Arabidopsis thaliana: one gene and its partner. The protein of the gene in region 2 interacts with the protein of the main gene of each other region in a pairwise test. Each region holds a gene or a part of one and is shown on either strand. Other genes may lie near its edges. The genes, in order: PEX6 and APEM9.

Evidence for each region.
Region 1: the proteins of APEM9 (region 2) and PEX6 interact in a two-hybrid assay, tested with the Arabidopsis thaliana proteins (one study listed by BioGRID).

The regions. Positions count from the first base shown.
Region 1 is NC_003070.9:687,055-694,470, forward strand, and holds PEX6 (peroxin 6), read right to left. Parts: upstream 5,607-7,416; 5' UTR 5,400-5,606; coding exon 5,121-5,399; intron 5,025-5,120; coding exon 4,389-5,024; intron 4,311-4,388; coding exon 4,067-4,310; intron 3,845-4,066; coding exon 3,703-3,844; intron 3,526-3,702; coding exon 3,345-3,525; intron 3,120-3,344; coding exon 2,931-3,119; intron 2,760-2,930; coding exon 2,478-2,759; intron 2,356-2,477; coding exon 2,197-2,355; intron 2,105-2,196; coding exon 1,982-2,104; intron 1,897-1,981; coding exon 1,625-1,896; intron 1,549-1,624; coding exon 1,404-1,548; intron 1,311-1,403; coding exon 1,227-1,310; intron 1,093-1,226; coding exon 1,003-1,092; 3' UTR 741-1,002; downstream 1-740. Other genes in the region: AT1G03010 (Phototropic-responsive NPH3 family protein), read left to right, coding at 6,426-6,517, 7,063-7,129, 7,226-7,416. UniProt on the Arabidopsis thaliana protein: Component of the PEX1-PEX6 AAA ATPase complex, a protein dislocase complex that mediates the ATP-dependent extraction of the PEX5 receptor from peroxisomal membranes, an essential step for PEX5 recycling.
Region 2 is NC_003074.8:3,302,644-3,307,300, reverse strand, and holds APEM9 (3-phosphoinositide-dependent protein kinase-1), read right to left. Parts: upstream 3,077-4,657; 5' UTR 2,956-3,076; coding exon 2,912-2,955; intron 2,586-2,911; coding exon 2,409-2,585; exon of another isoform or gene 2,264-2,408; coding exon of another isoform or gene 2,247-2,263; coding exon 2,169-2,246; intron 1,876-2,168; coding exon 1,602-1,875; intron 1,515-1,601; coding exon 1,207-1,514; intron 1,116-1,206; coding exon 995-1,115; 3' UTR 797-994; downstream 1-796. Other genes in the region: AT3G10580 (Homeodomain-like superfamily protein), read left to right, coding at 1-218; CYP77A6 (cytochrome P450, family 77, subfamily A, polypeptide 6), read right to left, coding at 3,604-4,657. UniProt on the Arabidopsis thaliana protein: Involved in peroxisome biogenesis and matrix protein import. Required for pollen maturation and in vivo germination via its role in peroxisomal function, which partially involves jasmonic acid biosynthesis.

The DNA of each region.
Region 1 (7,416 bases), on a different chromosome or scaffold from region 2:
CCTCAGAAAAAAACTTAGATCGATCGAGAGAATAAGCAAAACTCTTAAATACCCATTTACATAGAGAGACTTGAACAAAGCAGCCCGATAAAATCAATCAGCTGAATTCGTTGGATAATGCGATTCAGAATCCAGAAAGCGAATAACGCCCAGATTTGGGAGAGCTCACGTGAAGAGCTTTGAAGAGAGAAAGCTTTAAAAAAAAACTTGAAGATCGAAACGACAGAGGAGGTTCCTCACGTTGCAAATTCAAAATTCCGTTTTTTGATTCCTCATTCTCTGTTTTCTCGAACAAACGAAAAAGAGGAAAAAAAATTAACTCAACAAAAATAATTTCCTAAAAAAAAAAATTGATTTCGGACCAGCTCGCCCAAACAAAGCAAATCCCACGTGACAAGTGATGTCATAGTGGTCAAGTTCGTCATTTCAGTCTTCAAAGATTTGTCTTTTTTTTGCAAGTAAAATCTCCTTAATCATAAAAATTTTTACTGTAATTTAAAAAACTTTCGCCATATGGATTCTATGCTTCACGTAATTAATGGAATTTAGTCACGTGTGGAAAACAAAAACGCTATTTTTGGAATGCCAATTGAAATAATTGTTTGGAGAAAATATTCTGAAATTACTAACAACACCATAATCAAACAGATAATATAAAACACAAACCTAATATAACAAACTGATGATTTTATTTCCTACCCAAACCAAAAACAGAATTCTTTTATGAACCGTTGTGGAAATTTTTTTAAGAAAACCTTTTACCATTGAATAATCTGCTTCACTTGTGTGTTATATTATTACATGGAACTATGGAAGCGAAGAATCACTTGTGCGTAACCAATCAAAGGTAATTCAAACCAAGAAAATTATTTTACATTATTGATTCTTTAATTTTACTATCAATTGACTAACCAAATCAACAGAACTGTTCAGAGAAAATAGTCTGGGAAAAAAATATGAAATGTCTTCATTATAAGCTAATTTTTATGTACTGAGAGGGGTTTAGCTCGAACGGCCTTGAAATTGATCTCGAAGCATCTCATACTTCTTAAGCTCAGTTATGGAGAGTGATGGCGAGAGCTGATCCATTGCCTACAAAGAAGACAAAGTGGGAAACTATTATAACTCTCGACTGATAAAACCGAACCATAACAAATTAACATTTCTACTCAACCATGAAAATGGCAACTCTTTTTGATGAGTAGATGAAGGAAAAGAGTTTTAACCTTTATAAAATCCACATACTCTACAACGACTGAATCGGGATCATCTTCTTCTGTAGGCATATCCCCTGAATCCGATTTTGACACCTGCATTTGCCAAGTATGCAGATACAAAGCGATTTCAATAAAAGCTTTTACAGAGACTTATATAGTCTTAAATTTCAACCCTATCCCTCTCACCTTTCGCTTAGCTGCCTGAAACCAAGCATCAGCACACAAGGCGTACATATCAGCGCCGGTGAATGTAGAGGGACACTTCTTTGCTACTGAATAAAGAGATACATCTTCGCTTAACTTAAATTTCCGAGTCAGTGCTTTAAGTACCCTGTCAAAAACAAGAATCAGGAAGCTTCTAATTTTTTTTGTCTTTGGACATGCTTTTGATTGTTTAAATGCCTAACCTTTCCCTGTAAGACGCATCAGCGTTGACTCCAACATATAGAAGTTTGTCGAATCTGCCAGGCCGTAAAAGAGCTGGATCAATCAAGTCAGGTCTGTTGCTTGCTCCTATAATAAACAGATCCTGGGAAGAGTCGCTGAGTCCATCGATCTCTGCAAGCATCTGAGATACCACTCGATCCATGACTCCTCCAGAATCACCAGAAGCACCTCGAGCTGGAGCAAGAGAATCAAGCTCATCAAAGAAGATCACACAAGGTCGCGCTGACCTTGCCTGCAATTGAAGAAAACACACTAGTTTAAGAATCAGAACCAAAGACTCAATATGCTTCTCCTAGGGAAGAAGAAATATAACTTACCTTTTCAAATATATCTCGAACATTTTTCTCTGACTCTCCAATATACATGTTGATTAATTCTGGACCCTTTACACTGAGGAAATTTAAGGAGCACTCTGTCGCCACAGCTTTTGCCAGTAAAGTCTGTAAATTTAATTCAAAAACTCAAAAATATAACTGCCAAAAAACAGACTATTAAGAGATGCTAAAAGTGAAAGAAAAAATGGCTTACTTACTTTCCCTGTTCCTGGAGGGCCATAGAGAAGTACACCAGAACGTTTACGCAATCCGGACGAAAATAAATCTTTATGCAGGAGAGGTAGTTGAACTGTGTCCAATATCGATGTCTTCACATCCTCAAGCCCACCAACATCATCCCATTTCACATTTGGAACCTACGAATACAAATAAACCTTTAAGTTATGTGCATCTCCAGTAACAAAAAAATATGCAAACTTGTCTCATAAATAGACAAACAAACGAGAAAACACCACAGCAAGAAAACTGTGAATGTTACCTTAGGAGCACCAAGGGCTGATGCATTTCTCTTCTTTGATCGATCCAAAGCTTTGGTAAAGTCTTCCTTAGCTGTTAATTTCTCAGTGCTGTTATCTATTTGGCTTGCCTGGTGTATATCAACTCCATGAAGATCATCTGACAGAGAGTTAATTTTCTTGGTCTCGGACTCTTGACTGATGTATAAGTTGGCACCAGCATCAGCTACAAGAGCTTGCAAGTCCCGGGGAAGGAAGCCAGAAGTCTGTCCCACCAATCCTTTCATAAATTCATCTGAGCTAATCTACAATGTGAAAATATCTATCCATCAAGCCTGAAGTTGTTAACTTTAGTTTGAAAATGGAAGAATAAATGGATCTAGTATCTCTAAGATTTCAATGAGAGGTAATTTAATTTAGTTCAAATTATATCATAAAACAAATACTTGAAGTTTTGGAGCATTGTACTCACATACATTAAGGAATTGAGAAACGCCTTGGAGGGACTGAGACAGCATTTCAGATCTCTGTTCGTCATTCAAAGAACCCATACGTATTTCATGGCTAAAGCAACGCCTGATTGTTGGAGAGATACCCTCAGTACTTTCAGCAGATGCGATTAGCAGCACTTGATGTCCCCTAAACTTTCCAACTTCATTTTCAGACTGCATTAGCACATATACAGATAAAGCATCATGGAAAAGGGTTTCGAAGAGCAATATTTTCTCTTTTCTTTACTTTATAGAGTACGAGGTCTAAAACCATCATGAGTTGTTTGAGAGCTTAGCTAAAATGGATTATGCGACAACGATTTGGAAAACGGAAAAGTGAACTTAAGTGAAACTGTGCAACGCGCAATGGAGAACCAAGGAAAGAAATGAAAATCTTACGAAATTGCTATTCGATTTTTCTTCCATGGAACTGTCCCCATTAGAAACTGGCTCAGTGAGTTCCCTAATAACCGATGCAATCTCAAAGGACACACCAACTCGGTCACCCAGTGAACCATCCTGAGAGCCCAGATTTTTAAAAACATCGAAATGGCGAAGCAAAAGTATCGTTGGTGAATACCTGTGACAATGAAAACAAGGCATTCACCAAGTTGTGGATAAAAATACTATTCCAGAAAGAAGAGCTCAATATTTACAAAAATGTAAGTAATTTTGCACTTCATTAAAACACGGCCATTTACTGAATGCAGTTCATAATGAATACATGAAAGAAAAGAAAAAAAGTATACCATTTTACCTTCGTGCCATATTAAAAGTCTGGGCCAAAGCAGTAGATGTTTTCCTCTCAGATGATGCTAATAAACTGTGGCAGCTAAATTCAACTACATGCAGCCCCAACCTCCTAGCAACATATTTAACAACAGTTCTCTTCCCACACCCTTAAACAAGCAATAGATACAAAAAGCTATTAGCACGTGATTCAGTTATATGCATAGAGCATAAAGGTCGAATTATGACTTCTCCCAAATTACCATAATCTGTAAACACAGAAACATAGTCTCTTACTAGTCTTTCCTTAACATTGTTTCCAGAAATAGTTTAACCCTTAAGAACATATATGAAAGTGAAGTATTTTCTTGATGAAACCGAAGCAAATGTACCTGGTATACCATGCAGTAAAACAGCAACCCTGAGTTTTGAGGCGAGTGCTGATGGGCAGAGAGGTGGTGAAAGCACCGATGCCAAAATATTTACTGTCTCCTCCTGCAATGGCATAGGAACCTTTGATCTATACACCAGTAAATCTGGTGGAAGACCAGAAGATACAGTTCCTCCAAGGACAAGGGCGGTTTGGGAGTGATTCACTCGAAGAAACCTCTCATTAGAAGGTTCCATCGCAATAACCTGAGCAGATGAACTAAGTTTTCAGTAAGCTCTGGCCAAAATGAGCATTTTTCTGGCAAAAATGAAAACCAATATTACCTTAAAATATATATAGTCGTCGCTTTCGGAGCACAACCTTTGACTACATGGATTACAAATGCTTGAACCACAATTCCAGTCAATGTAAATGCGAAATATATCGCCTCTTGATAGCTGTCTATCAGTTCCAAAATACTTCTGTAATGCAGAATCTATTAACCCTTGTCGCTCTTCAGCTTCAAATGACGAATTGACTTTCAGGGATGGGATGGTACCACACTCTGGGATTTTAACAAAAGAAACTCTCAGATGTGATGCATAGCCTGGAACTTGGGACACGGGTTCCAAATCCAAACCAATCTTCGACCCATCTTCTGCAGATTTTCCGATAAACTCCTCATCACACTTAGCTTCAAAATACTTCTCTAAGACCCCGTTCCCTCGATGTACGAGGGATTTCAGGCAAGATATGTGCAAGCTAAGATTAAAAGCTAACATTGGGGACAAGTAAGCAACCTCTTGATCTAATAACTGCTGGCCCATCAAATCATAAGTGGGAAAGACAAGCATCGTATGAAGAGAGTCCGAAACAGGTACTTGAGTGAGAGATGCATCTTCCAGCGTCGTCTTGGGAGGATCAAGTACAACAACTTGCGCAACCCTTTGAATGCCTATCTCAATGTTCTTGACAACAACCTTGCATTTTAAAAACTCAATTGTTAACATCAAAAGCAACAAAATTATCCAGAAAAGATCCAGCTTTGTTGACTGAACAAGATGAGAAGGACATACCAAAGAACCAGAGTTGATAGATAGTCTCTTAAGCAATTGAGTGGAGAGTCCAACCAATGCAGAGTCATCTAAAGAATCCAATTTTGCATCGGAAACATTTTCTCCGTCCTTCCGCCACCGGAGAATGCCCGCAGACAACCTAGCGTTCCCTCGTAACAAGTCACCGTCTTTATTCAGAACTCGGTCGCCGTCGGCAGAGCTGGGTTGTGACGAATTGAGCACTGAACGGAGAGTACTTCTTGTGGATGATAGAACCAGAGGATTCCGTCTCTCCACCATTGCAACGGAATCAAATCGAATTCCCAATTACTCAAAACTCAAAAGAGTCAGAAAAAAAGTATAAAAACAAAAACCCTAATTTTCCATCAGAAGATTCAAGTTCCGTTGAAGAAAATTCACAGTACGCGAACCGATGAAGACTGAAGAGGATCAGATGGTACTGGCCCCACTTAAGGATTTTTTCGTATTTATATTATTATATTTTCTGATTATTGTTTTTTTGTACTATTTGTTCCTCCTAATCAAAGTTTTACTATAATCTGTTTAGTAAAATTAACCTGGAATCATAATTAGCATAAATATTTTAAAAAAACAAATTATAGGTTTCGAGGGGCTCGAGAATTTTCGATCAGCCTAACATCATTACATAAACAGCCTTAAAGCTAAAATATAAATCTCAATCGGTGTAATCACTACTGCTTTTCTATTTTTCTAACCAAAGCAAGTAAAGGCCCTAATTTTGTTTGGACCACTAACAAATATACATTTTCAAAAACTAAAAGCATGGAGTGATCTTAAAGCTTGGTCTCACCAAAATTATTCACTTGACACTTAATATATTCTTTATGTATCGTTATATTTAGAAAACTTTGCATTAGATATATATTCCATATAAATTTTAGTGGACAAAGCAGTATGTAGAAAAATTAAATGATTGATCATCTTAAACTTTTGTTAAATTGAAACGAAAATTGAAAAACAAGAGAGTAGACATAATGATGATAGAAGAAACCTCACTTATCCCATAATAATGGATGGAAATGCCTCAAAGGATACTAGCTAGCAACTTAATGTAGGTACATTGCATGTATTGTTTGTTATTCCTTAAGTTAATTTTATCTGTGATAATAATGATCTCAGCTTTACACGTACTTAGCAGATTAATTTTAACCAAATCTTTTTTCTCTACCTTTTTACATCCATTAACTACGTACATTCACTGCCATTACAACCGCAAGAGCTCTTCTTCTTCTTCTTCTTCTTCTTCTTCTTCTCCTTCTTCTTCTGCTACGAGAATAGAGAGAGATGGGACTTGTTACAGTCGGAGAATTGAAGCCAGCTTTCACAGGAAAGAGAGGGTTTCGTCTGAATTCAACCATCAGACATGCCTCTGAATGGTAATATATACTCTGTTTCAAAAACCAGTTTTGTAACTATTATCACCAAATGAAATCCAAATTTAGTAACAACGATTCTTGTTTTTTTTTTTGCATTCACATCTTTGTTTTTGATAAAACTGTCAGAAAAAGACTAAAAAATTTGTTCTTTCTGAAGAATTATAGCAATCTTGTATGTGATGTGAATCTGTAGCCAAAAGTCATTTCTTGTTAAAGTCTTACTGTTCATCGAAACCAATAATTTCTCCATCTTATTTTGTATATATGTGGAACATATCCGTACATTAACACTTCATCTGGTTCTAGTTCTGTCTTCATTTGAAAAAGCTTGATGTAGACATAATCTTTTACATGTCCCCTGTGAATCTTTAAATGTCTCTAAAACCAGGAATAAATAACACTATTTTTGGCGATAAATTCACTGTTTCGTTATCCTAGAATCTTAGCGTCGGAGTCATGGAATTCAAGTACACAAAAGATCTTTTGATTCATAATTCAGAAATCCTTTCGCTTAATCTTGATGGTTTTTTTATCTGTTTTCGCAGGCCGATATCCGATGTCTCTAGTGATCTGACAGTTCAAGTTGGATCTTCGAGTTTCTGTCTTCATAAGGTAAAAAGCAAATTTAAGAACATTAAAACAGAGTATCCTCTGTTCTTGAGTTGTATTGAAAGTTTTCAACTGTTACTTGTTGTTTTGATTTCTCAGTTTCCTCTTGTGTCTCGGAGTGGAAAAATCCGAAAGCTTCTCGCGGATCCAAAAATATCGAATGTTTGTCTCTCAAATGCTCCTGGAGGATCAGAGGCTTTTGAGCTCGCAGCTAAGTTCTGTTATGGAATCAACATTGAAATCAACCTTCTTAATATAGCTAAGCTCCGTTGTGCATCTCATTATCTAGA
Region 2 (4,657 bases):
GTGACCAAATTCCTCCGGGTGAATATCACCCCTACTCCCGGGACAATGTAACCGTCACTGGATCCAACTTGAATTCTATTGGCCAGCAGCCACATTTTAATGACCAAATTTCTCCGGATCAATATGGCCGCTACTTGCAGGAAAACTTCGGGTTTTTCGATGATGATGGTGAAGATGATGGGAGTTTAGCAAGCTTTCAACAACTATACAAGGCTTAAGCTTTTTGATGAGATTTTCTGGTTTAGGGTTTTAGAGTTTTTGTTCTAGTCTAGACTTTAGTTGAATAGAAACTACCTACATAGTGATTGCGTGTCTTGAAAAGTAAAGAACAGTTTCACAATCTCGGGATGTTCGAGTTGATCAAGAACAATCCTCTCCAATTTGACATAAGCGGTTTTATTCTCTTTGGTGATAAACTTTTTGTCCATGATCTTTAAGGCATACACAGTTCCATTATCCTTCTTCTTCGCCCTAACAACCTGATTCAATTACACATACGTAAAATCTCCAGGATATGAATTGATTCATGAATCAAACCAAATTGCAGAAAAAGGTGTGATTTTTACAGGAAAAAAAATCGAAAAAATGAATCCTTTGAATAAGAGCCAACGCCATAGATCTTGCCGAGCTCGAAATCATGGTAAGTGAAATTCTCCTGAGGAGCCTTAAAGGCGAAGCTTTTGCTTCTGTAAATAGTTTCACCATTAGAAGATGAATTCCCTTGAAGTGTAAGCTTTGAATCTGAAACTGTAATCCCTTGCTTCTTCGAAATCCAAACATACGAGGATTTATCCCATATTAAAAAGGCAAGGAGAAATATAGATAAAACATAATATGCAACGGGTTCTTAATCATGTTCAGTGATTACAGTTTGATATAAGTGGAGAAGTTTGGGAAAACTAAGTTTGAACTTTGAATAGAACCAATTATGAAAATATTTGAGTGTTGGTTTGGTATTACATAGGCATTTTCAATGCCAAATTTTGATCCATCTTCATGTTGTGGTGCTTGGTATGGATTGAATTGCTGCAAGAGGATTCACTTGGTATGAAAACGCAAGCTTCCAGAAATCTACTATTGCTTTTCTCGTGGACTCCATTTGCCTGCGAATGATCCTGAAACAAGTAAACAAGTTTCACAATGTATTTTTTCATCACACAACTTCTGATCATTCAAGCATAGAAACAAGCTTATAAGAATTCTTACCTTATCAAAGCAGCTCGTTTTCTCTTCAAAGCATAACATATGATTAATCCAACAAGGCTTACGGCAACCTTTCCCCTGGACATGCTAAATTGGGTATTACCAACCTTGAGGCTTAGAGGATGGGATGACCAAAGTGACCAAGGTTCATGCTGTTTAGATAGTTTCAGGAAAGAATCAATCTCATCATTCTTTTCATTACCCAACGACTTCTTGTTATTCACTACAGCATAAGAAGAATCTTTGGAATTTTCCTCAAAAGAACTAGCTGTTTTGAGAGAAAGTAAGGAATGCAATCTTCTCAAAATCCCCTGAAATAGACAGTTTAGTGTAGCATCATAGTTAGAACAAATTCACAATTTCATACACAACTCACGAAAATATTCAATAGTTAGTACCTGTCGCCTTTCCTCAGGCAATGCAGCTTTTTCAACCCATGAAATGGCTAGGCCCATGTCATTTGAAAATTTTGCAAGAACTCCAAAAGTATACAGCTCAACGACTTCCATGTACTCATCAATATCTAAACAGTTTTTCGCATGGAATCCTTTTGTACTTACTCCAGCATCATTTAGGATATAGTGGTTGTCCTTGTAAACCCATATTCTAAAGAACTCTTCCAGAATATCACGTACACCCAAATAGGAACCATTTGATATTTGAAGGCATACTCTAAAAGGGAAAAAAAGGGAAGAAGATCAATAAACTAGATTTCAACAATCTTGTTCTGTGACTTTTGTCTATGCTAATGCATCCAGAGAGCAGTATTGTACTCCCCTTAAGAAGAAAAAGTTTGCAAATAAAATGAATGTTATTGTACTCCCCTTAAGAAGAAAAAGTTAGCAAATAAAATGAATGTATTTTACTCCTAGTTTTGAAAAATAAACTGCAAAAAGAACCAAATATTCTCCTTTTAAAGCATCTTAAGCTGTAATACTTTGAAAGATTTAGAACAAGAACAATACCCAGTAAGAAGAACTTGAACAGGAATAGCTGCAACTTCTCCAAACACATCTCTTAACTCATTTACAATCTCAACTGTCCTGCATGAAAAAGGCATTTGTTGGCAAAAACTATCACATAGCCAAAACTACAACAAGCGTCCAAGACTCTAAAGTTTCTTTAGAGCATCCAATTCCAAACAGAAGTAAGAGGCAAAAGAACTACTCATGTTATAACATCTGAATACAGTAAATGAAATATACCTGCCGATTCCATGCAAGGATTGAACTAAGACCATACCAGCAGATTCCAACATATCATGAAATTGATGATCACCTTGAGAAGCTTCGTCGGATAAAACATCAATGTTGCCAAATATTCTTTTCAGTATAGAGGAAGATAATGACTCTGCCTCTTCATACATAGAGCACACTAGGTAACTATACACATCCAACAAAAAAAAAAATGAGTAATGAAATTGGTACTGAGCCAATTTCTCAACTTGAAAACAGATAATTTTTACAAGTATGAGATAAATTTGAGTGGACATCATCATAAGCAATTTCATTTGAACTTGTTTCTTGTCAAGTCTGTGATGAATCGTTTTTCTACAAACTCTATACATGACTGAATCAAAGCCGGATAGATAATTATCGTGATAACTAATTCTGAGAAAATTTTGACTTCTCCTTATACACATGGCCAAGTACGGAACCAAAATTCGCAAGCATGAAAAATTAAAATTTAAGCAAATTCTCAGGAATACCTCTCAGAACGTTCAATTTCTCCCCAAATATCAGTTGCCTCCATTGTAGAGGTATTGGAAGAAGCTTATCCAAAGCTTCAATTAGACACAACAGAGCGATGAGATTGATTCTGCTCGAATGAAGAACGAGGAAGAAGCGAGGGAGAGGAATTAATTGGGTATTTGCTATTGGGCCAATATAATGGGCTTCTCCTTCACAAATCTAATCAAAGCAAGCTAAGCCCAAAAATGATGATTAGCATTATTCTGGTTGTTAATGGGCCATTAGTTTCGCATTAAAAGTGAAGTAGAACAGTGATACATTGCGTGAACTGTTATTTCAAACATTCAATGATTCATGAACATGCAACAAGATTAGTTAACAAGTTAAAATCTGAGCTAACTTTTGCGGCTCAATGAAAGTCCAGCATCACATTCATGTCTTTTTCATTTTTGACATCGACATGTCTCTTCTCTTTATAGCTACTTGGCCCTACTTTCGGTGTATGTACGAAATTATTAGTGTTAAGCACAATCTCAAGGTAGCTCAGTTTTACATTGAAAAAAAAAAAAAAAAGCAAAATCATTTATTGATGTGTTTTGACAATAAATGAAATCTTTTACTAGAAATTCACAAAGCACTTGACAAATTTCAAGAGTATAGGTTCCTTCTTTAATATATAAGCACACATCGTTTTCATAATTAAACAAATTTAGACCCTTGGCTTAACCATGGCTCTCAACGGTTTCTTCATTACCACCGTAAACTCCAATTTCCCGGCGAAATCAATTTCACTTTCCGGCGGATAAGCGCTCCACTCAAACTCTTGAACCATCTTCGCTAGCATCAAATGCACGTGTACGGTCGCCATCGCTAGCCCCGGACAGATCCGACGGCCAATACCGAACGGCATCATTTTAACTCCGGTTACACCGGTTATGTCCGCTTCCTCCTTACCCGAAATAAACCGATCCGGGTTAAATTTCTTCGGATCAGACCAAAGCTTTGGATCCTCATTTATTCCCGGAAGATAAAACTCAACGTTAATCCCAACGGGAACATCGTAACCGGCGACCGTCGTCGGCTCCGTGACGGAATGAGTCAACGTAAAGTATGTCGGAGGATGTTTCCGTAAAATCTCCTTAACAACGGCTTGTAAAAAGACCATTTTATCCACATCTTTTTCCTCAACCTCACGATCTCCAACCGTTGATTTAATCTCATCGTAGAGCCGAGATTGAATCTCAGGATTCACAATCAGTTGCGCTATACCCCACTCGATCGCCGTCCCCGTCGTATCCGTACCACCGTTAAGAAACTCAGAGCAGAGCGACACAAGCTCTTCATTAGACGGCGTCGTTATACGACCTTCGGTTTTAAGGTCAAAGAGTGTATCAAGATAAGAAAAAGACGACGCCGTTTTATCAGTCCCCGGCTTCTGAATCGCTCTCCGTCGTCTCTCGATGAGTTTAACGATGAAATCAACTTGTTCACAACGAACCTCGAGAGCTCTTGCTCTCTCCTTGGAATAAAACGGAGCAAGAATCGGGAGATAATCATCGAGTCTTGGATTGAGTGTGATCAACACTTTCTTCATCACTTGATCCATATTCAATATCGATTCTTCATCCATTTCGATTCCAAAACACATCTCCAAAAGAATACAAAACGCAGCGAATCTTGCGTTTCTTAGGACCCAAACAAGACCGTCGTTGTCTTTAGCTTCTGATTTGATCCTCTCGACGAGTTTATCCATTGCGGATTGT